2 linked regions of the Schizosaccharomyces pombe genome follow. The protein of the gene in region 1 interacts with the protein of each later gene in a pairwise test. Each region holds a gene or a part of one and is shown on either strand. Other genes may lie near its edges. The genes, in order: sec18 and mug24.

Evidence for each region.
Region 2: the proteins of sec18 (region 1) and mug24 interact in a two-hybrid assay, tested with the Schizosaccharomyces pombe proteins (one large-scale study listed by BioGRID).

The regions. Positions count from the first base shown.
Region 1 is NC_003424.3:4,711,957-4,727,164, reverse strand, and holds sec18 (secretory pathway protein Sec18), read left to right. Parts: upstream 1-6,029; 5' UTR 6,030-6,048; coding exon 6,049-8,427; 3' UTR 8,428-8,652; downstream 8,653-15,208. Other genes in the region: Golgi zinc importer, CDF family, Cis4, read left to right, coding at 1-305; DNA replication pre-initiation complex subunit Cdc45, read right to left, coding at 405-701, 743-2,362; pex7 (peroxin-7), read right to left, coding at 2,765-3,527, 3,657-3,789, 4,117-4,147; SPOM_SPAC1834.13 (uncharacterized protein), read left to right, coding at 4,581-4,817; SPOM_SPAC1834.10C (uncharacterized protein), read left to right, coding at 8,854-9,076, 9,138-9,451; mug51 (variant protein kinase 19 family protein), read right to left, coding at 9,675-10,595; phosphorelay sensor kinase Mak1, read right to left, coding at 12,176-15,208. UniProt on the Schizosaccharomyces pombe protein: Required for vesicle-mediated transport. Catalyzes the fusion of transport vesicles within the Golgi cisternae. Is also required for transport from the endoplasmic reticulum to the Golgi stack.
Region 2 is NC_003421.2:1,912,260-1,928,693, reverse strand, and holds mug24 (rrm type RNA-binding protein), read right to left. Parts: upstream 9,413-16,434; coding exon 7,448-9,412; 3' UTR 5,961-7,447; downstream 1-5,960. Other genes in the region: ppn1 (cleavage and polyadenylation specificity factor complex-associated protein), read left to right, coding at 487-655, 814-894, 1,015-1,225, 1,277-2,948; SNARE-binding protein Sly1, read right to left, coding at 3,319-3,720, 3,774-3,882, 3,925-5,012, 5,114-5,382, 5,446-5,497; vacuolar phytochelatin and glutathione S-conjugate ABC family transmembrane transporter Hmt1, read left to right, coding at 11,152-11,349, 11,472-13,766; mdn1 (midasin), read right to left, coding at 14,037-16,434. UniProt on the Schizosaccharomyces pombe protein: Has a role in meiosis.

The sequences.
Region 1 (15,208 bases):
TTCCATTAATTAAAGATTCGGCGAAGAATTTGCTCTCTGTGACTGATCCAGAATCGGAATATTTATTGAAGCAGTGTTTGTCGAACATCAGTTTAAGTAACTCCGTTATCAGTTTATCCAACCCTAAGTTCTGGACAAACGAAAGAGGTGAAGTGTATGGAATACTCCATATTCAGGTGAGCATAGACGGTGATTTAAACGTGGTTCGTAATGAAGTATTTAGGAAGCTCTCAATCGCTGTACCAAATTTAAAACACATTTGTATACAATCTGAACGGCCAAACAATTGCTGGTGTGGAAAATAGTTCTTACATCAGTTGATATCCATACTTATTTACGTGTAATTTTAATTAGATGAATTAATATTTTCTTTATTAGCAAAATTCCCATTATTTACCCAATCTTTATAATAGTGTTTTGAAGGACAGACTTTCTAAAAAAACCCCGAGGTCACTTTTTTGACACTCAATCACACTTGCTTCAAAACAGTCCATTTGCAAAGTAGCAGATGTCATGTTTGCAACCTCTTGAAATGCAACTCCAAAACGATTGTGTCCATGACCGTCGTCATCATCGTCATCTTCATTGCTAGTAAAAGCGGAAGTAGAAGTTCCAACTATTAAGTACCTATTTTTTTCCTCTACAAAAGCTGCTAAAACAAGAGGAAGATGTCTAAGCTTTCCAAATTCTCGTTCTTGCTCCTTCAAGTGTTAGTCAAACGTTAAAATCAATAGACACTTACATTAATAGCTTCAGCAATCCAAAGACTCATCTTTGTTAACGCAAGGGGATGCATAAATATTTTCAGATCTGGTCCTTCGTTGATAAGTCCAAAACGAAAAGATCTCAACGTTTTAATGGCTCTTTTTTCAAGTAAGGTGATTCCAGTACGAACAATGGCTCTTTGTAAGTGCATTGCTAACTTCAATGCTCTTTCTAATGAATCGACATCGTCCAAGGCGTCGTATGCATCATAAAAATTGTGCAACCATTCTTGATTTTGAGCATTTTCAAACTTCTCCAAATATTCTTCCTCCGTCATATCCGGGCTTCGAGCGACAGTTTTGCTTTGAAGCAAAACACCTGTATTACCCATTTCTAATAATGCACTGATAGCATAAGAAACGTCACTTGCACTAAGTGTACATTTGAATCCATAAGTCCGAGTAAAACTATGGAATATCACATCGTCTAAACCATAAAACGGTGCAAATCTTTTAAGACTACTTTTCAAAGTTTTTTTTAAATCCATGTTCATGTGAATATAAGTTTGTTTACACTCCACCAGACTGAGTCCCATTTTTGCAAGAAGCTTATGTAGTCGTTTGCGTCCTTCCTCGCTCCAAATGTGAAGTCTCGAACCAACGTAAGCAGAATGAAGCATAGAATCATAAAGACTCCAATGTCTTACTAGCATAAAACGAAATTCATCTTCAAGCCGAATTGACTGATCATGGGGTGTCTTACCATGTGCGCGACCGACTATTTGATTTTCAAGTGGTGAAGGGTTCAAGCGATTGACTTCATCTTTCAATAAAGAATAGGACCTATTGAAGTATTTTTTTGAGGATTGGCAGTGAATTTCCAAGCAGGTGAGCCCAACAATCGCTAACCACAACATGTCATTATCCTCACGTCCAAGCATGGATGCTACTGCAAACAGGATATTGGTAATTGACTCGCCGTACCAACTTCCTTTCTCATAATATTCAGAAAGGATAGAGGCGAACTCTTTCCGTTTTTTCCTTTTCTCCTTAATTTCAGCTCGACGTTGCGTCGTTTCCTCTGAAAAACGCCTACGACTTCGTGCTTGATAATCGGATGAGCTGTAAGATTCCACAGATCGGTTGTCATCTTCGACTTCCTCCTCTCGCTCATTACTGGAATCGGAATTTTCTTCATCTGATAGCTCATGCGAATTAAATGCATACCAAGCATCATGAATTTTATTCATGTCTTCTTCAATATCTCCATCGTCGAAAACAAAAATATTGTTTTCAATGTATATATTATTTAGATTATGCGGCCTATGAGAATCAATTACATAGATAGATACGTCTTCCATAGAAACAAGATAATTATTTAGATCCACCATCGTTCCACAATTCAAAAGTATAATGAATTTGATATCTTCATTTTGCTCTAGCAAAGTTTTATTTGCTTGTTCAAGGTCTCGATAGCCCGATACAGGCCTAATTTTATGTGAAATAAAATCGCCTTTCAAAAGTGTGGACAATAGCTTGCATGCACAAAGCGCGTCTGGGTCTAAAGCAACAAAGAGCTGAACTGTGCATCCACCAGATACACTTGCTTCTTTAATTTTCAAGTAAGCAGAGGCGTAATCGGATCTCTTGATGAACATTAATAAATAAACGTTACTGGTGGTGGATCATGGAGGAAATTACCAGGTGGTCAGTACAAAGGAAGGTAAAGCACTTTGAGTCGCTTTATATTTCCTAAACAATAGCGCATTAATATACAAGTCAAAGCTACGCAATAGTAGTTACAAAAAAAAGAAATTTTTGTAGGCATTGCAAACAACCCTTTCTCATTTTATGCCAAATGCCAAAAATCATATTATAATTACTCTAGTTACTAAATTTTTCACTTGAGCTACCTAAACTATCGTAAAAATAATTTGTAATCGCTGTTTTCTGGTGATATAATCCAAGGTGAACATGTGCACAACGAATTTATTCCGAGCGTTCGAACATTTCGTCTTTGAATCAGTGTAATAAAATCTTAAATTAAAAACAGCAGCAACTTAAAATGCGTTCCATATATACAAAGATTCGTCCCAACCAACACTTGCAATCCAAGATCCATCGCCGAAATCACTCCAATCAACATCACGGACAAATTCAGAATGCAAATCAACTTTTCTTATGCAAGAGTGCTGTTCCGGGTCAAAAATTCGAGAAGTCATATCGTAACTTGCTGTAGCCAAAAGATCATGGGCGGAATTGGACGATTTTATACTTCGAACAGCAAGTTGGTGACCAGACAATACGGACAGAGGCGTCTTTAAATTCGCGATATCGTAACAGTAAACCAGATTGTTATTGTCGGCCGTGTAAACCATACGATGATTAGACTTGCTCCAATTCATGCAAGTAATTTGATTCGGTATTTCAATGGACATAAATTTATCGGAAGACCGGAAATCCCAAAATTTGCATAATCCATCACTTGATGTATACCCGAGTAAATTTGGAGAGCTATAATGTGTAGCAACTGTAAGAATCCTTGAATTCGAACCATTGTTGAGCGTCTGCACACTGTTAGGCAAATTGCCTAACCATAATTTGATAGTCCCATCCCAGGAGCCCGTAACTACAATTCTTCGATCAACCGTATTTGTGTCTATTGCGACAATCTCCGCTTTATGCTCTTTCCATTTATGGATGGGCTTAGAGGGCATAGTCAAATCAAATAGTCTCAAAGAACCATCACCACAGCAAGCGTAGACTTGATTTTCACAATTCTGAGACCAGCGCACACCAAACAAAGAATCCTCGACATCATAGCTAGTATTTAACGTTAGATAAATTTCATTTCGTAGGATTTAGAGACTGTTTTCATCATAATAACTAATGGTTAAAAGTGTTTTGTGCAAAAGTCTAATAATGAAGAGCAGTAATCGCACAATTACTTACTGTTGGCAAACTTGAATTCCTTTTGGCGTAACATCATGAATATAAAGACGTCCGCTTCCGCCTAATCCATAATGGGTGACAGCTGCAACAGCGATCTTGTTTTCGACAAGTGGAGAGAATTGAACACTTTCACCTAGCGAATATTGTTAGTAACGATGTACAATTATGCATTCCAAGATATTTATTTTGTTTTGTTTTCTTTTTTTTTTTCCAATAAAAAGGAAGGAAAATTAAAAGGAAACAAAACAAAACAAAACAAAATAAAATAAAATATAAACAAAATAAAGAAAATATTCAGTAATAACAAAATTTCGTATTTCTACATCATTTGAATTTAGTTTAGTTATAGTTCGGTAATATTCGTTCATTTTATTTGTATTTTTCTCAAGCAGTTGTACTATCGCTAGTACTAGTACCATATAATATTTTGTCTTGCTTCGCTTCCCTTTATTTAGCTTACCTTGAAACCCAGGAGTCCTCAATGACAGCATGGGCAAATAAACACAAGCACGTTGCCCTCGAAGAATTGCTCGTTTACAAGAAAAAAATTCCAGTCATGAAACGGAATTATTTCGCAGCTCGGCTTAGATATTTTTCTTATATAGTTTTGCCAATAAGTGTTTCTACTTATGCTCCAAGCAACTTTTGCTTTTTGCCCCGTCTCGTTTCTGCTCTATTCTGCTTGGCTTGGCTTGGCTTTGCTTTGCTCACCAAATTTTGAGAGCGAAGCTTGTTTCCTCAACCCAGCTTATATATATCAAAAAATATATTAAATAACTACACTACCAATTTAGAAAAATGATAAATCATAAGGCGTGAACCAGGAGAGAAATACAATATAATTGGCTCCTTCACAAGCTAGCTTCGATAAGGGTGGGAAAAGCCGAAAGTTTATGAAATTAAGGTCGATTTTCTATATACCATATGATATTCGCCAGACGATTGGTACTTGAAGTAACTTATGTGTCAAAAAGAGCAAGCGTATTGAATCTGAAATCTGAAAATGACCACTTTCTAAGCAGGCCTAGAATATCCGAGTCACTGCCAACATCAGGGGAGGTGGGGATAGCTAAAGTACCTGCGAAACTTGCAAGTGCGCTGCCGCCTTACTCAGTCTTTGCCCCCGTTTCCCTTAGCTTTGTAAGAATGAATTGCGGATAACGTTAGGACAGTGTAGCTCGGGATAACTAGTTTGCCTGTAAAAGAACAAATAATCATTTGTAAGGGACCTTCCTTCCAAGTCATCAACACTCCATCCCATCTTACCTCACTTTCTCCTCAATCAGATTCAAGAAATGGCTGGCTTCACTTGTGACAATAACAGTGACTCAGGTGAGATATCGAATAAAATTCCATTCCCTAATAATCGCGTTTGAACATTCGCGAATCCTAGATTTTGGTCTATTTACCGTTATCATGCCAATTGAAAAATTTGTGACAGTATGACAGAAATCCGTTTCGTTATGTGAAAAAGGTGACATTAGCAAATCAATGGCCGTTTATACGACAGCAAAAACTCGGTACGCTAATCATTGATGAAATGGAAATCAAAATTCAAGACTTTGCCTCAATAACATTCATTAGAAAGGTGTGTAAATTTTTTAAGGAGACGAGGCGCTGAAAATTTTTTTTTCTACTCCTACTATCAAAACTTGCTAACACTTCCTCCAAACACACTCTTTTTTAAGTAACACTTTTTTTTTATTTCTTATTTATTTAATATTTTGAGTGGATGATCACCCGTATTCGGTTAGTAAAGTGAAGCTCAAAAGAATGATGCGAATCTCGGCAATTAGCGTCAAGCGGCAACGTCTATAGCGGTCGTATAGCTAAGCTAAACAAGAAGCGAGATCTTTCCAATACGGATGTCATTAAGCTACCGATTCTTAAAGCGAAGACATTATCACTCATGACACATAAAATTTTTTGACGTTATTATACGTTTAATAATGAATAAAATAAATTTATAAATAAAATAAAATATATAAATATACAAAAGGGGGAGGGGAAATCCCTTCAATAAACGACAACAACAGTCTGCAAGAAGGTTTGTCTTATTGGAAACAGTTTTCCTATCTTAGAAGGCTGCTAAAAAAATAGTCACTTGCATGCTACAATAATTGCACGCGTAAAGAGGCTTTTGCAAGAAGAGAGAGAAAAAAATTTTTTTGCCAAATGTAAATTGGGAAGTAACATGGCTTCACTACATCTCGTCCTAAAATATAACGACATTGGAAATTTATGGCTTAATTATGATTACGCAATCAAACGGTAAACGTATACTTCACTATTCGCTAATCTGTATTTCGTACTCCGTTATATTATGTTTTAGTAGTAGGTGGAAAGCGTTACGTTTACTGAAAACGATTTTCCATTAACAAAGCACTCAACAATGGACTCAAGATGGAAACTTCCATTCATGTCCAATAAAGGGACACCAGAGCAACCTATGAGGAAACCACTAAGTGGCAGTTATTCCCATAACAGTGCTGGTCCTACACCCAATATGAGCCCCTTTGAGCAAAAACCACCGCTGCCTACACATATGGATGTTAGACGCCCTTCAGGTCCTTTTCGGATCGTCAAGGCGACTTCTACCGAAGATGCTTTAACCAATTGTATCATTGTTTCTCCCATGGACTTTAAGCAGCAGTACATTATTGTAGACAACTCTCGTGTGTTCAGCACTAAACCCGTTCCTGGCTTTCCACAGGGTTGTCTTGGCGCTTCCCAGCCCCATCGCGAATGGGCTTCTTGGTCGCTAAATCAGCAGGTTCATGTTGCCGACTATGATCCATATGGTCCTCATGGAGCTCCTTATCTTCATAGTATGACTTTGGAGGTAGACTTTCAAAATAGAAATCGCACCACTAATGAGCCTTTCGACGGTGAAGAGATGGCCAAGTTATTTTGCTCTAGTTATCAGAGCCAAGTTTTTTCTCCGGGCCAGAAAATTGTTTTCGATTTCCGTTCTTACAATATAAAGGCAACCGTCCGTACTATATCTTGTGTCGATCTTTTAATTGGTGAGAATCAAGATGCCGAAAATACTGCAGATACCAGCAAACGTGGTCTCTTGACTTCCCAGACCGAAATCCAATTTTTTAAAGCCGCTCACTCTGCGTTGCGTTTGAAAGCTAGCATGACAAGACCTGCCTCTAATGCCATTCTTCAGCCAGGCTTTAAATTTGAGGACATGGGCATTGGTGGTCTTGACTCAGAGTTCAGTGCTATTTTCCGTCGAGCATTTGCCTCTCGTCTCTTTCCTCCTGGCATGGTTGAAAAGCTGGGTATTAATCATGTTAAGGGTATTCTCTTATATGGCCCTCCAGGTACTGGTAAGACATTAATTGCTCGACAAATTGGTAAAATGCTAAATGCCCGTGAACCGAAAATCGTTAATGGTCCTGAAATTCTAAACAAATACGTCGGTCAAAGTGAAGAAAACGTTCGTAAATTATTCGCCGATGCTGAACGTGAGTATCGCGATCGCGGAGAGGAATCGGGTCTTCATATTATTATCTTCGATGAATTAGATGCCATATGTAAAAAGAGAGGAAGTTCTGGTGGTGATACAGGTGTTGGCGATCAGGTCGTTAATCAGCTTTTGGCTAAGATGGATGGCGTTGATCAACTGAATAATATCCTTGTTATTGGTATGACTAACAGAAAAGACATGATCGATGAAGCTCTTTTGCGTCCAGGTCGTCTTGAGGTTCATATGGAAATTTCACTTCCAGATGAACACGGCCGTTTGCAGATTCTGAAAATCCATACGTCCCGTATGGCTTCAAATGGTATTTTAGAGAATGATGTTGACATGGAAGAGCTAGCATCTCTTACTAAAAACTTTTCTGGTGCTGAAATTGCTGGATTAATCAAGAGTGCTTCAAGTTTTGCTTTTTATCGCCACATCAAGGTGGGAACCACTGCCGCTGTTTCAGGTAATTTGGAAAATATCAAGGTGAATCGTAACGACTTTTTGAATGCTTTAAGTGAGGTAAGACCAGCTTATGGTGTGAGTGAGGAGGAACTCGAAAGCCGTGTGCAAGGTGGCATTATCAATTTTGGTAAACACATTGAAGAAATAATTACCGAAGGAAAATTATTTGTTCAACAAGTTAAAAACTCCGAACGTACACGTTTGGTCAGTGTATTATTGTCAGGCCCTATAGCGTCAGGGAAAACTGCATTGGCTGCCACGATAGCCCTTGGTTCTGAATTTCCATTTGTTAAGCTCGTTTCCGCTGAGTCCATGGTAGGAATGAATGAAAACGCTCGAGTAGCTCATGTCAATCGTGTGTTCGAAGACAGCTACAAAAGTCCTCTTAGCGTCATTGTAGTAGATGAGATTGAACGTATTATTGATTGGGTACCAATCGGACCTCGATTTTCTAACACCTTACTTCAAACACTTATGGTTCTTTTCAAAAAGCAACCCCCCAAGGGTCATCGATTGCTTATTTTAGCAACTACCTCTGAACGTACTATGCTCTCTCGAATGGATATGACCCAATCGTTTGATGCAGAAATAGCAGTTCCTAATGTCTCCAACGTTACTGAACTGGACCGCATCATACAATCAATAGATTCATTTGCAGACAGCAATGTTCGAGCTGATACATTACAACGTTTGCAGAACTTTACTGGTACTGATGCTGTCAATGTCGGAGTAGCCAAGATTCTTATGATAGCCGAAACGGCTAAACAGGATGTAGACGTTGTTTCCTGTTTTGTTGAAGCCATGGCCCGTGCTATTCCTATGGAATAGCAATGACACCTTTTTAATAACTGAGACGTTTTAGTCATGAATATTTTCTCAAGGTTTTTTATATTTTATACCGTTATAGATTATAGTTAATGAATACACCGCAATACTGTATGAATATTAAGTTAAAAGATGTTCGAACCTATATGTAACGTTAAAAAAATTAAATCATCTTGTTAAATGAATGCTTATCAATATAACTTTATAGCCTTTTATAGTCAATTATCCATAAATAATCATTTGAAGCATTGTAAACAATTTAAGCATACTACATTACTCCCATACTGAGAGGCACAATTTACCAATTCGCTATTTCCACTCCACATTGACCCGGTTCATATTCTAAATCTTTAATTTCATCAGTCATAAATAGTAAAGGACATGGAAATTTAAAAATCGTAACATTCAACTCACATACTTAATTCTAAAATGAATATGCCCTCCGAAATACTACTTGGTGCAAGACGCTGGTTTGCTTCAACATCATTTAGTCTAGCAGCTGTATATGATGCTCCACTTAAAAAAGCTATAGGAAACATTAAAAAGTTTTCGATTGGATCATTAGGTTTAACTTATATGATTTCTCCAGTGATGCTTTTACTTGATGCAGGAGGTTTAAGTTTGGGAACGAGAATGTCGATGGTTTTCTTGGGTATGTTTCATCAAGAAATCGGATTACCAAAATTTCCAAAGCAAATTTATTAACATGTTAGCATGTACTACTACTAGTTTGTCGACTGCAATAATTCACTGGGCTGCTAAATCTTATGTTTCGGAGGCAACGTTAAAGGGAAACGTGCTATCTTTAAATACATTTAATATTCTAGGAAAAAAGCGCTTATCCCAATATACTTTAGACAAGCTCAAAATCCCTGATACCAACAATAGTCGTCCATTCGCAAACCTTGAAAGCACTACTGTACCCAAACGATATTTTTACTTGCACCCAGAATTGGCTACGCCAATTTTTAATGCTATACGGCAGGCACAGCAACCTAAGCAAATAAACAAAAACGATTCGAAATAGATATCATAATAACTATATAAGTTTTTTAATATAAAATTCAATGTATTGTAATTTAGGTCTTAATCGAGTTTGAAATGTAGAACGAATAAAATAATGCTCATCTTTTGAATAAAAAAGGGAGGAAAAAAATGGTAAAGATTGATTAATGAAAGTGTATGATATGAATAAATAGTACCGTATCCGATTGTTCTCGAATATGTGTGAATTATCTGACGACAGTGTTTTAAAACTTCATTTCAAGTCCTTTTTTAGTTAAACGGAATGCTCTTCCACAAGTAGTCATAAACGAATCAACCAGTCCGGCTCCTATGGCGTCGCAAAGTCGAAACTTCCAACCAAAAAATGCTTCGTTCTTCTTTTTGCAAGCTACCGAAACATTGCGATTATATAGTGACGATTCAATTACTTCGCGGTACGGCCTCTTTTTTAAATAATTTGACAAGTCGTTTCTGCTGTTACGCAAAATATGAGTAAAAATGCCAAGGTTGGGTAATGAGATTCCGTAAGAGTCAGTGCCAGCAAGAATAAGAAAGCCCATACTAATCAGCAGTCGTCGTTCCTCCCAATTAAATTTCAACTCCTCGGATGTGTAGGAAGGTAGTGGATTTTCAATCAATAGTTTATGCAACTTAAAGATTAGCGTATAAATATGTTCCTGATCTTTGAACTTGCACAAATAGTATGTAAATAATTTATCAAACTCAGGTCGCAAAATTAAGCAAGACTCACCACAGAACTTGTCAGATCTATTTAGGTAAAGACGACGGATGTCTCCTGTACGTATAGATTGTTCTAACTCTTCAGCAACACTGGTATAGTTTGATTGAAATAAGCCTATCAACTGTGTTTCCACAATCATTCGCGGACACTGTGCAACTAAAACATTCGTTTGCTGGCGCATTTGAATGTCACGAAACATTTCCTCAACTAAAACTTCTATAGAGTTTCGTATCGTTTTGTTTCTTAATACAATCAATGGAGGAACATTGTACGAAATGATGTTTAATGGTGATTGACCAGTACACATAGATGCTTTAGAGTGGTTTTTTTCAATTGCTAAAGAAGTCTTTCTCCTTTTGCTAAACAGTCTGTCTATTTTAGTCTGTCCATTCTTCTTTTTATTTATTTTTAATAAAGCAGGCATTGCCAAGGTAGGTAAGGGAAGTAACTTACTTTACAGAAATTTCGTTAGTCGAGTTTTCATCACCTTCAACATTTAACGCAGTGATTTTTTAATTGCCAGCTACGCAGTTTAATAACTATTTTAACGATACGAAAAACTGCAGTGAGTTTTCCTTGCGACTTATACAGTAGTACAGGAAAATAAGTAGCAACTCGTTAAAGATATTCTAAATTTGGGGTTACAATGTAACCTATTAGTAAAATAGTTTATAGTTGGGCTAAGGAACGAGGTTTAGTGGTGGCTTCATTATAATCTTTTTAATGGTTCATAACAGTGGGAGTCTATTTAAATTAATAAAAGGGTGGTTATCGGCAATTATCAATACACGGATTGAACTAAAATCCTAACATATGGCATACAGTGAGTGTTGCACAACTGTAGTGTCAGCAATACTACACTACGCTATGATACATTACGTTGCGTATCACTATATGTCATATGTTGGAATACTAGCTAAGATCCGTTTATTGATAATCACGGGTAACTATCCGTCTATATACATAGATACCCGTTGATAACAACTATTTAGAAATATTATAAATAGCGTTACAACTGAACCTCGTTCCTCAGTTCAGTTATGAGCTATATTAGTGATAGGTAACATTATAACCCAGTTAATACAATACCTATACTCAGTTGCTACTTATACAACCTGTGTATTGTAATATAATAGACCACAAGGAAAACTCACCGCAGTTCTACGTATCCTTAAATCAGATACCAAACTGCGTAGCTTACATGTAGCTAGTGTAGTATTGCTGACATGTAAAATAGTAATACTATATAACGTAGTATAAGTATTGATGCATTATCTAATCGGTTGTAGGCAAAGCCAGTAATTGAACTAAATATACTTTGTACGACGAAAGGTATTGATACCAACCAAGAACTTGTTTTTTCTTTCTGGACTGGCTTATAGCATTCCCCTTGGAATTAGAATAAAAATCCTGTCTACACAGTGAACAAATATATGTAGTGATGCATAGTGAAGTGTAGCATAATTTACGCTTATGGTAAGGGAAAAAATTTGCTCCAGCAGTGACTTGAACACTGGGCCTCTTGCTTACTAGGCAAGCGCTCTACCACTGAGCTACAAGAGCTAATTACGAATTACCTAAAGTTTGCATTTAACAATGAGAATGTATCCTCGAATTGATTATTTGACTGCTTCCTATACTTTAATTTGGTTTGTATTTCAAAACTGATTGATTAGCACACAATACAATTTTTTTTTTAACTTGCCAATAAAATACACATTACATTAAACAAGGGGAATATGTGATATTTAATATTATTATACTGGTTCTGGGCGCTGGAAATATAAATGCATTAAAAAGTTAATAAAATAAAATATGAGATGCTTAGATAATTATTATTTTGGAAAATATTCAAAATAAGAAGTTGTCAATTTAAATAAATATAGGCACTAAATAAGCTTTTGATCAAAACAAAGAAAAAATATAAAGTAAAAATAAAAGCATTAAAACAGTGAGATCCTTTCTAAAAATACAAGCAAAAGTGAGTGAAGATTAAATATCAAATCATTTGTGTAACTTTGATTGGTTCGTATAATTAAGTATGCCAGATATGATTAAGGACAAGTGTTGCAAAGTAATAGGTTTGGCAAGGTAAGAATCAAAACCACTATCTTTGCAGCTTAAAACAACATGAGGTAAAGCATTCGCACTAAGTGCAACTATAGGAACTTTAGGGTAATCGTTTTCCAATTCGTATTTACGAATTTCATTACATGCCTGGTAACCATCCATAACAGGCATTTGTAAATCCATTAGAATAAGAGAGTAAAAATTAGGCTTTTCACGTTTCCATTCTTCAACACATTGCAAACCGTCCATGGTGACCTTGAATTTGACACCAATTCTTTCAAGGTAACGGCTTATAACCTTAATATTGATAATGTTGTCTTCCGCCAACAACACGCTAAAGCCAGACTTTGCCAGATTATATCGGAGTGTTTCAGCATCAGCCTTCTGCTCCATTGCAGCCTTTCGAGTCATATCATTAAGTGCACCGATTTTCCCCTTTTCCTCAGAATCAGAATAAAATAATGGAAAAAACTTGGATGGTTTCACAAGTTTTAAAACGTAATGGATGCTTTCCGAATTACAATCCTCGCTATCTGAAAAAATCTTAGATAATGATTCTTTTTGTCGAGTGGAAGTCACCAAAATAAATTTTGTATCCTTGTATAGACTACAAAGTTGCAGTGATTTGACAAATAAAACATATGCTTCTATGTCCGGAAGATTTAATATAATATGGGTGACCTTGGATTGCATAGGATTCTCTAGCAATTCTTCAAAGGCTTCATAGGTATTTCCATACCTTACGATATCTTTAAATGAGCTTATATCGATAATTGATTGAAGCATGTTGCCAATCGCTTCACTACTGTATTTAGTGTGTGATACAACAACGGCTAAAGCACTTTTATCCAACTTGATCCCAGAAGGTTTGTTTCTATAGAGTCTCCAAAATAGAACTGTGTATGGATCAGCAGATGCGCCGCATCGACAAAATTCCGATTCAGAAGCGAAAGGATTCACATATTTGTTGGATTGAACATTTTTGTCCGATTCAAGTTTACGTCGGTTGCTTTCTCTTCCGGGATCTGCTTTATTTACGGCCAATTTTACAAAATTCGTCGCGCTTTTATCGTTTCCATCGTCTGCGCAATAATAGTCTTCTGTGCTTTGTTTGCTTTTTTCGTATGGACAAAAACAGACTGGACAACAACCATCTGGGGGTTCAAATTTTAGAGGAGTTTTATCCATTGTAAACGTTGCAGTCCACATAAAGCGCGTTCCCACGCCTCTTCTACTTTGACAGGACATACTACCATTATGTAGCTCAACAAGCTCTTTTGAAATAACTAATCCAAGACCTGAGCCACCATGTCTTGGTAATGTAGAACTCTCTACTTGAGAAAACGGTTTAAACATTTGTAATTGATCATCTCTGTTAAACCCTTGACCGGTATCAATGCATTCCCACTTTAAAACAACAGTATTGGTTGAGTAATCAATCTTTTCAACGGAACAACGAGTAAAAACTTCACCAACATTCGTAAATTTAATAGCATTTCCGATCACATTCAAAGCAACTTGCCTCATTCTCATATTATCCCCAAATACTATATCAGGAACATCAATGTCAACCGTGTAGTTCAATTCTATTCCCTTTGAAAAAGCGAGGGTACCTAGAGTTTCGTTTGCATCTTCCATCATAGCTCGTACAGAAAAGCGTTGGCTAGTTAGCTTCATCATTCCAGCTCTGACTTTACTAAGGTCCAAAATATCATTGATAACAGTCAAAAGAGACTTAGCTGATTGCTGAATAATACGTGCATAACTCAGCTGTTCGGCAGACATTTGAGTTTCCAACAAGAAGCTTACCATGCCTGTAATACCGATAAGAGGGGTTCGAATTTCATGAGACATATTGGAAAGATACTGCATTTTGCTCCGAACAATTCTTTGAGCTTCAATGTTAGATTCTTGGAGCTTTTCTTCCAACATTTTATGATCGTGAATATCAGTACAAGTTCCTAACCAGAGATTAGTAGACGTATCAGCAGAATTATTTACGCAAACAGATTTCACCAAATGCCATCTATAATGACCATCGGTAGATCTAAAACGTATCTCCGCCGCAAACGTTTTGGTACCATTACTTTCGTCTTGGTTATTAAACGTTCCCTCCAAAGATTCAGGCAATAAACATTTCTTGCGATCAGCGTGATATACAGCAGATAAAAACCCAAGTCCCAATGAAGATTCCAGTGAAAGACCTGAATAACTTAACCACTGCGCATTTGCATAAATAATTCCATTTTTACCATTTGCGGCAAAAACAATTTGAGGAGAAGCTTCAGCTAAAGACCTGTAGCTGTTTTCATTTGCGGCTATAGCTGATTGTTTTTGTAGTTCTCGTTCTGCCAACTTTTGATCATGGACATCCGTCATTGTTCCAAAAAAATGTAGCACAGATCCAGTGCAATCCCGTAAAGGAACCGCGCGACAGATAAAGTATCGATAAACATTATCAAACCTTTGCAAACGAATTTCATGATAAAAACCACTACCAGAGAATAATGAAGATTTCCAGTCATTTAAAAAGTTTGGCAGATCATCAGGATGAATTCGACTAAATTGTAGCTCTATTTGCTCATTCATATTTAAACCACAGTAAAGAAGAGTTTTTCTATTAACCCATGTGAGTTTTCCACTTCCCGGATCCGCAGTAAACACATGAACCGGTATAGAATCAATTATAACCTTTAGTAAGGGAAAAGGAGGCGCTTGACCACCACAATGCCCTTGCACATACTTGTGAGATTCAGAAGTGCAACAGGCATATGATTTTGATTTATCTAAAACAATTTCATCCTTCTTTAGAGTAATAGTTTCATTTGAATAATTTTCACCATCATTTAGCGAGAATCTCAAATTCTCGTTCACTTTAGAATTCTTTTTGCTAATTCGAGACTTCAATCTAGCTAGCAAACGATGCTTCTTTAAAGTAACCCATGATCGCTGGTTTTTTTTAAAAAA
Region 2 (16,434 bases), on another chromosome or scaffold:
GGTTAATGTATGAGGAAAAAGAGATGGGTTCAAAATCACAAGAGAATGAAGAAAAAAATAAGAGTATAATATCCTTTTATTCTTAATTTTTTCTAACGGAATTCGTGAAAAGATTGATCCGATCTAAAAACGGTGAATCATTTTGTTTACAGCTGGAAAGCCATTTGGCATACCAAGTCCCACACGCCAAAAATGCTTCTTAAGTCTTCTATTATTGTCAATATAATTAAAAAATTAAAAATCTACTAAAATTATATTTTTTTATTTAGTTTTAACTATTAATATACACGATGGTGTAGCGAAGGGTTTAGAGAACTCCAACGAATTTCACAAAGTTGCATGTTCAGTTTCCTTACTTGAATAGTAGTCGACGTTGATCCTTTCTCAGCGTATATCCTCAGGAAACGATTAAATCGGCACAGTGCGAATTTCTGAAAGGTTCAATTTATTCGGAGTATTACTTTGAACCTCTTTGATATTTAATTAATGGATAATTGGAATTCCGTGCGAAATGTGTCGAGTGATAGACAAACAAGTAAAACGTCAGAAAATCCTCCACATACTTCCAATGAGTATAGTGGAAAACCGGAATTTATTAATCTGAGTCCTGATTTAGAAGAAAACTTAGATGAAAAGTTAATGAGTGCTTTCCCTGGTATGCAGGCTATTAAAGCGGGGATAGAGAGTTGGTCAATAATTTGAAATATTTGCCTCTACGGGCTGTAGCGAGTGATGTCTTGATTGCTTGTTCTCTCTTTTTTCTCTGCTATTTTTGATCCTTTCTCTTAGAATTCTACTAATTGTTGCCCTTAGGCTTAGAACCTCATGTGTTTCAACACTCCCAGTCACCTCTGTCACATAAAGATGCTTCATTGTTAGCTACAATGCCTTCAGGTATATTTTCTTTTGTTTATTCATTCTTTTTATTTTTATCTCTACTATACTGAGTTTTCCTATGTTCTCAATTTTTCTTTTTCTTTTTTGATTCGTTCAATTTGCTAATATTTATCTTAGTTGCCTCATCCAATCCATCACTCATATCTTCTGGATCTTCGCAAACTGGCTCCCCATCACAATCCTTGTCCTCTAATAAGGAACCAAGTTCTCCTGGCATTTCTCCTTCCAATGACTCTCAATCACAAAATACTAATCATACCTCTATCTCAGCCAATCCATATGTTAATAATCCAAGTCATACTTCAAGGAATCCGGATTCAGGATCTTCGTAAGTTTATTTTGCCTTAAAAATTTATTTATGACTAACGAAGCGCCTTAGTTTAAATACCGCCTCCCATGAAGTACCATCATCAAAATCAGACGTGAACGTTCAAATGCTTGCACGATTAAAATCTAAATCTCGTCAAAAAATTTCTTCCTCTGATCCGTTAGAAGATTTGCGCCTTACTCTGACTGAGTGTTTAAACCCAATTAACATCGTCCAAGCTCCAAAAGAATGTGCTGCAATCCTTGTTAATCTCATGAGCAATATCACCCAAGATGATCAAAAATTAGTTTTTCTAGATCTTCTTAAAAGCAAAGTGGGGAATAGTATTTATAGCCAACTTGTTGACGGCGGTCGTAAATTGTTCCTTCCTAAACTACGTAACTGGTTTGTATCAGCTATTCGTTCTAAACACGACGAACTCATTCATTTAATACTGCTCGTGCTAGCTAATCTTCCTCTTACGACTGAGAAGCTAGCTGAGGTTAAGTTTGGCAAACCAATTTTAATCGTAAAAAAAAAGTCTACCAATTCCGTTATACGCCAGCTTGCTGAAAATCTTTCTGAACTGGCCGAGAAAAGTTTTACTATTGAACAAAATAGAGAAAATGAGAAGAGCTCTACGAAGAACGATTCGACTGTTTCATCTTCCGCAGTCGTTATGGCCCCGGCTGGTCCGGCGATGGCCCCGTCTGCGTCTAATAAACCAAGCGCTTCCTCAACTACTAAATCAAGCAATTCGAAATCTAAAAAAAAGGTAACCAGCATATCGGGAACATCCTTCTTTAAAAATTTAGCAAGCTCTACAAAACCAACTTCGGCCTCCTCTTCAACAAAAGCGCCTTTGACAAAACAGCAAACCAACCCTTCTACTCCTCTTTCCTCTATCATGGCTGGCTTGAAAGGACGGGAGAAGGAAAAGGACAAGGATTCTGGAATAAGTTCAGAAAATGTTAGTAATAATCGTGAGGAATTGCCCAGCTTCAGGAAGCGTTCCTCTTCGTCGAGGCAAAGTGAGGAGATTGCATCTTTACAAGCTGAGAATGCAGTGTTCAGTAGTGATCCTGCTTCTAATGATGAGAAAACAGGAAACAAAAAGAGAAAGAAGAAGTCCGTTTCATGGAAGCCCGATAACGATCTTGTTCAAGTCAAATTTATTGAATCTCTTAATGAGGAAGGTGCCGCGTCAGTCAAAACACCACACATCTATGGAAATGCTAGGGATATGGACAGACAGGAAGCTCGTGTAGCGTTTGGTAGCCACGTTGAAGACGATGTAGAAAACGAAATTATTTGGTACAAACCAGTTCCTATAAAATTTGAAATTTCTAAAGATGAAATCCATCCTCGTGGATACAAATGTGGAGGGAATGAACGGAATTTGACCCCGGAAGCCACTAGCGAAATAGAACGTGAGAAGAATGAAAGTAAGGATATCTCCACTTTTAACATTATTTTGGATTTGCCTGTTATTCGAGAATTCGATGATTCTCGTCCTCCTGCTCACATCAAGCTAGTCTCGTCTGACACTCAAGCAACAACTGAATTGGGATTTAATGGTTTAGTGCAGCAAGTTTCTGAAAATAACACGAATGCATACTCAGCTACTTCGAATTCGCAATTAAGTTCAATTTTTTCTAATTTGTCATCTTCTATATCAGATGCTTCATCAAACGTTTTACAAAATCCATCTCTTTCGATACCAAATTACTCGAATGCTATATAAACTGAAGATTTTCACAACTTACATATTTTAAGCCATGTCTAACTTAAGTTATAACTGAGAATCTTATGAATTATATGTTTTTGAAATTTTTTTTTGTTAATTTTTTTTTTTTTTTTTTTGTTTGAGTTTTAGAACAGCAATTACATTTTCTTTTTTCTGTTCCCTCAGCTCTTGGTCTGAAAGTATATGTCGTTTACAAATAACCGCGATTTGCGTATAATGAACATTGATGCTTTCCAAATTTTCAATACGATGATGGACTACACAAATTCGACAAAAAAGTCATGTATCAAATTAAGAGTAAATCATTTATTTCATACAATATTGGCTGAACAAACATGATGGCCAAAAAATAAAACTAAATAATTTTTTAAGATAGAGAAGCCATTTCTTCCATAAATTCAGATGGCGATAATATGTCGGTACTACCGTATATGATACGCTTCTTAGGATTTTGTTCACGCGCCCAATCAGCCAGATTACCATATTCTAAATAATTACCACCTCCTAGTACGCAAACAATTGCTTCACTAAAAGTCTGTCTTTTGTTCATGGCCCTAGGATCATTGTTTACAGTAATAGCACGAGCTGATTTGGGATCTAATAATAGATAAGACTCTGTTTGTTTGGAGGCAGGAGAAGAGCCAGGGTCCATTAGACTCTGAACAATAGATGTAATAGTCCCATCCTTCCTGAAGGGAATCAGATTTCTAACCCCCGAAATAATATTTTCAAGGCCACCAATACCGGCTTCTTTAAAGCGGTCGGTAAACTAAAAACAATTAATATGTGCTTTAAGGTGAAAAAGTGTCAAACTATTCTTACCCTTGTGGAAAGACTGCTAAATCCACGAAATAAATTATCTCCTGTTTGACCCGTAGCTGGTCTTGTGGTAGAAGATGCTAACATGGTCATTTTAGTTATTTCACGAACCCTAATATAAGTTAGAAAAAACCAATAACATCAATCAGTATACCTCTTAACAAAATTTAATGCTTCTAATGTACAGCCATTGTTAACCAACGCCTCTTCATATGCCTGCAAATCAGAAGCCGGTACGGAATCAACACTTAAATACCAAATTATAAAAAATCGTAGCTTGTCTTCGGGAGTTCCTTGTTCCTTGTTATTGATGCAAGCGAGAATGGCACTTCTGTTTAGTCCAGTTATATTATCTTCTAACTGAAAAAAGTCATCTAAATGGCGCTCTTGAATAGCTTTTAATAATGCAGTTGCTATATTCATATGCATGTCAAGGATTTGTTTACGAGCTGTAAGCTCTGGGAGCAAGCTAACTGCACTTTTTAAATAAGTCGAATCAGCAAATGCGTCAACATTAACTTCTTCAAGTGAAGAAACACCGGATTTTCGGGTAATTTCACTAGCATCATTTTTATATCGAGTCAACTCTTCATCAATGTTTTCGGCAACTTTAGGAAATGGTTTGCTAGCATTACTTTCCCAGAAAAAATCATTTCCATCTAAATCGTAAAACCGCTTTGTCATTTTTCCATCATCGACTGACTCTACGGTAATCCTATTGAGTTGCATATTTAGGGTATCATGAATCAAAGCTTGGTAAGTCCAAGAATGATTTATCATTGGAATCAAATCGACCGTTCTATCCAGTAAAATAAGAATTGGCCTTGGTTTTGGATTAACAGAAACAAAAGCATCCTTGGTATTCATTAAATGGTCCTTTAGACGTTGATTCAACTTTTGGGCAACCATCTCAGCAGCCGATCCTTGTGGGCAACGAATGATAGGAATGGTTCCGAGTGTAACGATCACTGAAAAGAGACCATTTACAATATCCTGAACGCGTGAATTAATGAGAGCCTCATCTGAAGACGGGTTATGGAACGTATGAAAGATTTTGGGCAGTTGAAGAGAAAAAAAATCACTTTCTAACACAACATAATTAAGATACTGGTCATACACTTGATGAATCATGTGACTTGTATTTGTTTTCGACGCCAATTCGGCAAACTGTTCCAGAAGAGCACGAGAAATGGTAGATGAAAAACAGACATAGGCTGATTCGTAAAGACCCTTCGAAAGATCCTTTAAAATATGTTAGCTTGCTGAACTGTAATACAAAAAAGTATTTGGTATCCGACAATAAGATTAATTGATTGAAAATTATGATACTGAGAAATCCATACCTCTATTATTAGCTCAATGTTTTCTTGAGTAGGTTGAACAAAGTAAATAGCTGGGACATCAGCAATAGGCTGACGAAACGAAGTGATATTCATGTGAACCGTAACGCCATGTTTTCTGAGATCACTAATTCTGAGAACAGAAGAAATAGTCTCCGACCCTGCCTTATCGAAGATTAAAACTTTCCAAATGGGAAAATTAGAGGCATGTTGAGGGCTTGATTCAAGTTCGTTGACGTCTTGGTTCAAATTAAGCAGTTTTTCTAAAGATTCTAAAGGTTCATATTAGCAATGCTTACTGAGAATTATACAGTTTTATTAGCAACACTACTTACGAATTTGAGCTTCTCTCAAAGAAGACGGTGTTTTTACAGATGCAATAGACATCGTGCCAATTCCAACTTTGGCACTAATATAAGCACTTAGAAGGATGATTTGTGTTGAGGGATAAACATAAGAATCATACCCTTCATATGGTGGTGTATGGCAGTGAAGCGAGTCTCGCTAAATGTTCAAAAAGGTAAACAACAAAATAAATATTGAGGTTTGGCTGTTTTACCAAATCTTGTAGTCTTCAATCTTTACTAAAGATTTCTGATTTTCATTAAATTTTTAGATATTTAAAAAAACAGTACTAGTGCACCGGAAACATTCAAAGCGTAGGAAGGAAATCAATCTTGCGTTCAGTAGTTTACTTTTCTAAGATTTAATCTCAGCTTTCTAACTGTGCTTACATTACATATATTTCTAAGAGGTGTTCTTACTTTACTATTTACTTATAAAGATACAATTATTAAAAGAGTATCCAAACGCAAAAAGCTCTTAATTATGAATTTAGCCATTAATGATTTGCATATTCTAAGTGTCTAGGATCATATACGATGGCTAAAGTTGCTCATGGGATCAAATAAGTAGAAGGCATGTCTTCGTTTATTTTTTTAGACTGAATTAAACAAAATATGAAATTATTCATTGATCATTATGATGATAATGATACCGTAGACCTAATCATCGTAATAGTAATTAATTAACAGCAATGATGGATGGAAAATATAATTAAACAATGTATTGATGGAAGGAATTGGGCAAAGTAAACCGAAAATATGACAAAGAAGGTGTCGGACTCGAATAATGATAATGATAAAACAAAAATCTCAAAAAAAACGGAATAAGGACAAGGATAGTGATGACAAAATGAAATGACAGAACGATTATGATAACAAAAAACGGTAGTAAGCAAAGTGTTGGGAGTAACGTCAATAATTGAGCTTTGAAAGAAAAGAAAATGGTGAGTACGTTAATCCTAGAATAGTAAAAGCAAGAATAAGCGATAAATATGGAAGCTCAAGAAAAAAATAAAATTAGTGTGATCAAGCTGAATGCTATCAAGAAAGCAAATGGTAAACGAACTGGTGATGGGGTCGATGGAATGATAGAATGAAGATAGTCAATTAATTGGTTGTGAACAAAGGATAATAGTGATCATGACGAGGAACAATAACAATGATTCTGGAAAGCTGAGCTGTAATCAAACGGGAGAAATAGTAAAGAATTCGTCAGTGGATAGTACAATGATAATGTGTATAAGTGAGAATAGTTGGTTTAATGATAGCAAGCTGGAAAAATGCAAAATTGGCTGGTGGGTTAGCTTAAAACCGGCATCAACGGAAACAGTAGCAAATGGGAAAATATTGTGGTAATAGTAAAAAATGGATAATGGTAAATGAACAAACTACCCATGAAGTAACGGATCGAGAAGGGTTCATGAATTCATCAGCAAGAAGTAAGTAATCTTTAATAGGTAAGAAAAGTAAAAGTTCACAGACCGGCTTCTCTTAGTGATAGAAGAATGGTTTGAAAAACTAATTGACACATTGAATGAATAAAACTCTGCTCAGAAGGTTGAAGGTAATTTTTCTTTAAAGACAAAAAATTACATAATTTAAAAGAAGACATTGGAAATCACGGAAGAGTAGTAATGTGACAAAGCAAAAAAATTTCAAATTTGGGTGGGAAACAATCAAAACGTGTAAAAACGATAAATCAAAAACTTTCAGTAATAAGGTTTAATTAGAGTCAAGAATAAAAAGAGTTTTTTTTCTGAATTTTTTCTTTTTCAATTTTTTTTGGAATTTTAGATTTTTTTAAGGCAATGTTTAGTTAGGTTTGGACAATTTTCAAGTTTTTTTCAGAGGAGTTAGTGTTAAGTTTTTGGGAGTCTCTGTTACAAACTAAATTTGCATGCTGAGTGAATACCCGTAGAATTGAGAATAAGCAAAAATAAATGGAAACATACTGACTTGCTGATGAACAAAAGTTACTTCGCGAGTATTGGAACTAGTCGTTTTCGTGGTCGGATGTTTGAGGATAGTTCGGAACATTGCAGTTGAAAGGAAAAGAGGGAACGGCTGTAAAGGGGATAAAGGGCTGATACTGGATACCAAAATTTAATATTGGATCCGAACCTGGAGGAATTGCTGGACAATAAGCTACAGGATATGAAAACGGTGGAGTAATAAATTGCTGCAATGGAACATTCTGTTGGATAGGAGAGTTGGATTTAGACTTTTGAAGCTCTTGTTCGCATCTATCAGGAGCATAGCGGATTTTGCTCTTCTTGAACAAAGGATGTATAGGCAAGCCATTGACAGCCTTCATGGCATTAGATATATTTGTATAGGCAACGAATCCAGAACTTCTATTTTTTAAATATTTAATTGATTCAATCTCTCCATACTGACGCAGTATGAGCTCTAACTCTTCGGTAGTAAGTGAATCTGATATATGGCTGAAGTAAACATTTCTGGAAGCGCCCATCAATATAGAATCTTCTAAAACTCTGGGCAAAGGTCCACTTTCTTTACCCCATCCTACTTTAATTCTTCGACCGTGTAATAAAACTTCTTCCTCAGCCAAGTAGTCGTGGAAAGCGTTGGCGGCCGAATACGTTATAAATGTAACGAAGCATATATGTTTTTCAGGAATATAGTGGAAGTCTTGTAACCCTCCATGTCGGATTAGATCGCATATTTCATGTCCTTTAGTCTTAGTATGGAGATTGCCAAGGAAGACAGTACGGTTTCCATTGTCTTTTGATTCCTGCTGCCTGCAACGGTCAGACGTGGTATCCGGATTTTGCTTGGAAGTGAAACATGACCTTTCATCAAATGAAGGTGGATGATTTGCACAGCGATCTGAGCCAAAAAATATTCGCCATGAGTGATAGTCAGGATCGCAAGATAAGGTACGAACAACCTTGATTGCGTCGCGGATGTTCAAAAAGTGAACAAAAGCAATATTCTTTTTCGAGAGGATTTTTATGTGCTCAATCTTGCCGAATTTACCAAACGCTTCTTCAATTTCCTTCTCGTGATAAGAAGAAGGAAGATTGCCGATGAACACATTACGGCTGGCCGCAGTGTTCGAGCAAAAATTTTGAATCGATTCAGGTAAAGGAGAAGGTCTAGCAAATGTCAATTTGAGTGGCCTACCATGAAAAATGAATCCACGAGGATGGTACCTTTCATAAAAGAAAAAGGCATCAGCAGAATCAAGAAATGTAATTATAATCCTGCGTTTTCCAGGGTTGGACTGAATCTTCTCTAATGGTCCAGAGTGGATAAGCGAAAGTAATTCGGAAATTTTGTAGTCAACTGGCAAGTTACCAAGGATTAAAGCACGAAAATCTAACAAGGATTCGTATTCTGAATTGAATGGTGAAAATTGCTCCGCAGGTTGTTGGGCAAACGGAGGAGGAGTACCTTCTCGAGGTAGGAAATTTGGACGGTTTACAGGTTTTGCATGATACATATTGTCGGTATAGTGGGCATAGGGCATCGGTATGAAGGTGTTTGCTGAAACATACATGTTGGGGTAATAGGTTGAAGGTGGAGAAGGATAAATGACTGAAGAAGAGTCCTGGTCAAAATGAGGATAACAAGGAGAATCGAGTTGTTCGGGAGGGGGATTCATTGATTTAGGAGCATACCCATTATGAGATTTCGGAATAAATTCTGCGGCATTGATGTTTACATGGAAAGAAGGATTAGGTGAAAGATTTTTGTGCTTTTTACCACCACAGTCAAGGTTGGTACATTCATTATTGTCCACTGAATTAAGACTACTGTTATCATCTTCTGAATCATTTAAAGTGCAAATGCTGTTGGCCGTGCCAGTACTTCCTGTCTCTTGAAAGCAGCAATCACTATCAACGAAGTGACCGTTGTTTGCTTGGTCTTTTTCAAGAACACGGTCGGTCTCAACTTCACTTCCGGCACAGCCAATTTTGTGCATAATAGCCATTATAGTGTTAAAAAAAAAGAATTGAGTGAGAATATGGATGCTTCAAAATATAGAGTGCTTTAGACTGATGAGTTTCGCTTCAAAATTAGTATCGATTTAAATGCTGTATTCGATGGTCAAAACTGGTGAGAGGGACACTTATTTATAGATAAAAAAAATCATATCGTGTCAAGTTTTCGTAACAGCTAAGCACCATTTCAAATGTAAACATTGCTATTTTCGCAAGCATTCCCCGCAAAGCTGTCCCACATTTCTTAAATAGAAGGACGAATCAAAAGGCACAAAGTTGCAACTCTAAAACGTCAGGATGGCCCACAAACGACGAATGCGACGGTAAATCCGCTGCCACTCTTCGCTAAAGTCGACGTAATGTACTTATTTTAGCGAGGCTTAATAGTTAAAATTACTTACGTCCAATCATAGTTGTCCCTTTAAGTTATTCGGTTCTTATTATGACTGCACAGTGACTACCACCAATTCCTCGCGAATAGTACAGTCATGATAAAGGGCTGGTAGACAGCCATTTCTAAGCCTTGAAATTACCTTTAATAAAAACCTCGAGAGCCAATAGACTTTTTGGGTGCAAGATTTACGATTAGCCAGCCTTCCCCCGCCTTTTAAACTGCCAGAGCAAAATTAAGAGTAGATAGGTATCCCCCATATCCCTTATACCGAGCAATGCAAATACTGATCCAAGGCAACAATACCATCAACCTTACGAAGAGTACTCAAAAATATTGTTAAAGAATTACGTATACTGTGTTAGATGCTTCAAATTGCCCGTCCACTTCTAGCATGATTGTTGCTGTTTTGAAGTTATCGACATTGTGGTTCATAAGGTTTTAGCTTCATAAAGCCTATTATATAATGTGATGCGTTTCGTTAGATAGTAAAAAAGTTCGGCTAGGGCTATACTTAATGCTTATTCATAAATTGGTGTAGACTGTATTCTGTCACAATGATGTACGTTGAGGCTTGATCTGATAAAAAAATTTGGAAAGAAAATAACGATGTCAGTAAGTTAAAAGTAGTTAAATTTGAAGTTCTTCTGAATATTTCAACCATTAATTAAAAATATTAATTTTAAAAAATAGAAGTCTTTAATGAGTTTATCATTTCTAGGCCGTTAGCGAAAGTCAGAGTTTGAAGGTGTGTTATGCAATTAAATATTGTAACTTTTGCTTGAAAGCCTCTTCAAATAAAAAGGATTTGTTACGTGTTTCTTTAAAACTTTTCGAAGGTTCCAGATACTAGGTTATTGCATTCAAGCTCATCAATTTTAGATTTGTATACCCAACATTGCCAGTCAACATCAAGTTCAGCCGCCTTTTATCTATATTTTAAGAAGACCCTTTACAAGTTGTTACTATGCCGTTGAAATTTGTAAAGCTTTCAATACAAGTAAGTACATTATTTGTTCCTCTATCGTGGCCGATGAAGGATGTATGCCTTAAGCTACGATCTTGTAAGGAGGTTAAGACTCTTAACAAAAAAAAAAGTTGAAACAAAATATACAAAATTCATACTGATTTTCTGCTTTCGAAAGGCTCCGTAAGTGGGGTAGTTTGGTACCGTATAGGAGGTATTCTTACCTCACCATTGTCACTCTTAACCTCTACACCACTTAACCTCAGTCAAACCAAATTAGCAATTGAAGCAGTAACAATTTAAAATTATCAAGTTACTTTTACCTAAAGTTTTATTAATCAAACTGGCATTTCTTTTTTGATTTTTTTGTAATGGTTCTACGTTACAACAGCCCACGCCTCAATATTCTTGAGCTGGTCCTTCTATATGTCGGATTTTTTAGTATTGGGTCCTTGAACTTACTGCAGAAAAGGAAAGCTACTTCTGATCCTTATCGTAGGAAAAATCGCTTCGGCAAAGAACCTATAGGAATAATTTCCTGGTGGATATTGGGAATTGCATTAACCTACGTACGTATTTCAAGCATTTTTCTTAAAAAATATATATATATATATATATAAGTATATTTTGAAAGAAAAATGTTTATGTTTAATTGTTTAACCTCGCTTCATATTGCTAATTTCATTTTTAGGTCGTTGATATCAGCAATCTTGTCATCTACGCATTGCGAGTTCCAAATTGGTGGCCCTGTAAAACCACTGTTGTCTGTTTAATTCTCTTCCTTTTATTTTGGATAATTGTACTTATCTCATGCGCAGATTCTAAAGCTCTTCCAAAAAATGCGGATTCCATACTAAAGGCCTACCGCCTTAGCGTCTTGTACGTTTGGGCTATAGACATTGTATTTGAAACAATTTTCATTGTCTACAGTCCTCATCCAAATGAAACATTTCAAGGAATTGTATTGGCGGACCATGTAGCCCGATTGGTCTTATGTGTTTTCGCTACAGCTATATATCTAACTTATAGACGAAAGAGACATACGCACGATCCCCTGGATTTTGAGGAGCGTCAATTAACAGAAGAGTCAAACGTTAATGAGAATGCTATCTCTCAAAATCCCTCGACCGTTCAGCTCGGTGTATCGGCATCAACCTCGAATTTTGGTACACTCAAATCAACATCGAAAAAACCTAGTGATAAATCTTGGGCAGAATATTTCCGTTCTTTCTCTACTTTACTTCCCTATCTCTGGCCGACAAAAGATTACCGACTTCAGTTTCAGATTTTCATTTGCATAGTTTTACTCTTTTTGGGGCGAGCTGTTAACATACTTGCTCCCCGACAACTGGGTGTGTTAACTGAAAAGCTCACAAAACATAGTGAGAAAATTCCTTGGTCTGATGTTATTCTATTCGTTATCTATCGTTTTTTGCAAGGAAATATGGGAGTAATTGGTTCTCTTCGATCTTTCTTATGGGTTCCTGTCTCTCAATATGCTTATAGAGCGATATCAACTAAGGCTTTGAGACATGTTCTAAACCTGTCATACGATTTTCATTTGAATAAACGTGCTGGTGAGGTTTTGACCGCCTTAACTAAAGGAAGTTCGTTGAATACGTTTGCAGAACAAGTTGTGTTTCAGATTGGGCCTGTTTTGTTGGATTTGGGAGTAGCCATGGTATACTTTTTTATTAAGTTTGACATTTATTTTACGCTTATTGTGTTAATTATGACACTTTGTTACTGTTACGTTACGGTCAAAATTACATCTTGGCGTACCGAGGCTAGAAGAAAGATGGTTAATAGCTGGCGCGAGAGTTATGCTGTGCAAAATGACGCGATTATGAATTTCGAAACCGTTAAAAATTTTGATGCAGATGACTTTGAAAATGAACGATACGGTCATGCTGTGGATATTTATCTTAAGCAAGAGCGGAAGGTACTATTTAGCCTTAATTTTTTAAATATCGTTCAAGGTGGAATATTTACATTCAGCTTGGCAATTGCTTGTCTATTAAGTGCTTATAGAGTAACATTCGGCTTTAACACTGTCGGTGATTTTGTCATACTTTTGACATACATGATTCAGCTACAGCAGCCTCTTAATTTTTTCGGAACTTTATATCGTTCATTGCAAAATAGCATCATCGATACAGAAAGACTACTTGAAATTTTTGAGGAGAAACCTACTGTGGTGGAGAAACCAAATGCCCCAGATCTTAAAGTCACTCAAGGTAAGGTAATATTCTCTCATGTTTCATTTGCATATGATCCACGAAAACCTGTTTTATCAGATATCAATTTTGTTGCACAACCAGGAAAAGTTATTGCGTTAGTGGGAGAATCAGGTGGTGGGAAATCTACAATTATGAGAATTCTTTTACGATTCTTCGATGTCAACTCGGGATCCATAACCATTGATGATCAAGACATACGAAATGTTACGTTGTCTAGTCTTCGATCTTCAATAGGTGTAGTTCCCCAAGATAGTACCCTTTTTAATGATACTATTCTTTACAATATTAAATATGCTAAACCTTCTGCGACCAATGAGGAGATTTATGCTGCTGCTAAGGCTGCTCAAATTCACGATCGTATATTACAATTCCCAGATGGTTATAATTCTCGTGTCGGAGAAAGAGGCTTAAAGTTAAGCGGTGGTGAAAAACAACGTGTAGCAGTTGCCAGAGCTATCTTAAAAGATCCTTCAATTATCCTTCTCGATGAAGCTACTTCTGCTCTGGACACAAATACTGAGCGACAAATCCAGGCAGCCTTGAATAGACTTGCATCTGGCCGAACTGCTATAGTAATCGCTCACAGGCTCTCCACCATCACCAATGCAGACTTAATTCTTTGTATTTCGAATGGTAGAATCGTTGAGACTGGCACACACGAAGAGTTAATAAAGCGTGACGGCGGAGCTTACAAAAAAATGTGGTTTCAACAAGCAATGGGAAAAACTTCTGCTGAAACTCATTAATCTAAGCATAATAACAAGCCTTTACTAATTTTGGTAGTTATGACTAATTTAAAAGGAGAATTAAAATACACTAACTTTGATTGTGAGTAATGCTGCTCCTTTCACAGAAACATTATGGTACTAAAAATTTTATCACTAAATTCCATACCAATGAATTTCTATTATTAATTAATTTATTAAATCGTAGTATGTATAAGTACCAAAAATAATCCCAAAACCTAACCCGATTATTTTTTTCTGCAAGTCTTAACTGCAAAGCTTTTGTACAATTTAAGTATTACTCATCTGCTGAAACCATTGACGAAGTGCAGAAGACAAAAGTTGCGGCAATTCTTCGATGTTACGAACCACCAAATAGTAATCAAAAGCAAACTCATCTATATATGGCTGAATTTTTAAATCCATAGTACCATCTTCTTTAGTGTCGTAGTAAACCTTTTTAATATCAAGGATGGACGACTTTTTCTGGGTGTTAACATTGTCAAGAATAACAAACACAATCATCACTTTTTCTTCTTGAGCACGCCTTAGCAGTTTCCGAATGCTATCATGATCTTCACAAATACCGTCTGAAATTATGATTTCTAACTGCCTTATGTCCGAGTTAGATCTATGATGGGAAGCCGTATTGGCATAGTTAAAGCATTTCATAGAAGCATCGGCGAGAGCCAAAACATTGGTATTACTTTGCTCAAATGTAAAATGCGAAAACATTTGTACACCACTTTCAGATGAAAACTGTTTGTCGAAAGGATGCAACAATTCAGGTTGCTCCCCAAATTTCATCACTGCAATTTGTCCAACTTCAAGTAATGATAATGCTTTTGTTACCAAAGCTAAAGTCTCTAACGCTAGAACTGTGCTGCCCGACTCACTCATCGACTTAGAATCATCAATGGAAATCATCACTTGATACGTCCTTTTACTAGGTTTAACACGACGCATCCATATCTTGTCTTTCTTGAACTGAGAAGCAATATATGGGATGATTCGTTTCATATTCAACCGTTTACCCGTACGAAAGTCTCCTTGCATCTTAGTGGCCAAGGTTGGTTCTAATATCAATCGAAGCTGTTCACATAACTCAATAGAAAGTTGCTTTGTAGAGTCCTCGTGTTTATTCCATAAATCACGAGCTTCATCAATGGGCATTGCAGCAGGAAGGTTAGTAATCTTCACATTATAATCAGGAAGTTCATCTTCAATATCCTCATCCTCCGATAATTCAAAAACCTTCTCAGACTGGTTGATAGACCCAAATTCCGTTGGAAGGGTATCTTCACCAGTCTGCTTGATATCTGAAATATCCTGACCATCTTGTAATTGTTTGTCTCCAACTTCATCAGCTTCATCTTCAGCAATGTTTGTACTGTTCATTGAGTCTGGATTCTGATTAGCAGACTCATCTCGATCAATACTCTTAATTTGATCTTTTTCGGCATTTCCCAAAGCTTGCAAATCCTCTTCCTCATCCTCTTTAACATGCATAAATTCAGAATCGTCAAATGCTTGACTTTGCGATTCAGTAAGATCCTCCCATTCGTGAATACGATTGGCCTGTTGCCATTCTCTAAGATGATCACCAAGGCTTTGATATTGTCGATCCGCCTCACTCATTGCTTCTTTAGGGGTTGAAGTGTCTTCCCCTTTCTGAACTTGCTCTGCTGATGAAAATTCTCCGTCAGCAGTTCCATTACCTCGAACTCCAGATTCTGCTGCTCCATCTTCTTCACCCAATTCTTCATTTTCTCCAACAATGCCTTTATCTGTATTTTCTTCATCAGCTTCTGCAGATGCAAAAGTAGATTTCGCATCCATTTTAGGATGATTGTCTATCGCCTGGTCTTCGGGAACTTCACCTTGCTCTAATTCTTCATCACTTTTTACTCCATCTTCAGTAGACTCTTCGTTTTCCTGAACATTCTCTTCGAAGCCATCTTCATTCATCTTCTCATCATCCTCAGCCAGATCAGAAAAATCATCTTGCTGGATATCCTCATCCAGAGTGTTGTTCTCTTCCAAAGGATCTTCAAAATCCTGCATAGGTTCATCTTTTTCAGCATCTGCCTCTTCTTTGTTTTCATCAGCTGCTTCCATATCCATATCTTCCAAGTCTGAATCTTTGCTAACATCACCTTCTTTTTCGTCTAGTTTGAGGTCCTCAGGTAAGTCGAGATGATCCTCATTTTCAGGTGGTGGTTGACTATTATTTTCTTGAATATCAGGTTGTATTTCATCATCAATACCAACATCATCTGACATTTCTTCTTCGTCCTCTTTCTCTTGCCTATCTTTATCTTCTAATGCTTTATTGTCATCTTCCTTTGAAACCAAGTCGCTCTCATTGTTTGCAGCCGACTGTTCATTTGACTTCTGCTCAGTTTCAAGCAAATCTTCTTCATTGGGCTCGTCCCAGAGTTTTTCGTTCAGTGAATTAGACAAATCTTCAGGGATATCATTGACTTCCTCATCCAAATCTTGATTCTCTTCTTCGCTATCACTGTTTTCGTTCTCCGATACTACAGAGTCCTTTGTTACTCCATTCATATCTGATTCCAACTCTCGAGCTTCAGACTCGTCCAAATCGCTTTGATTAGCCGTATCTTCTTCGTTGGCAAGTTCTTCAAGGTCATCGTCTTCATTTAACGTGTTAGTGATATCTTCAGCT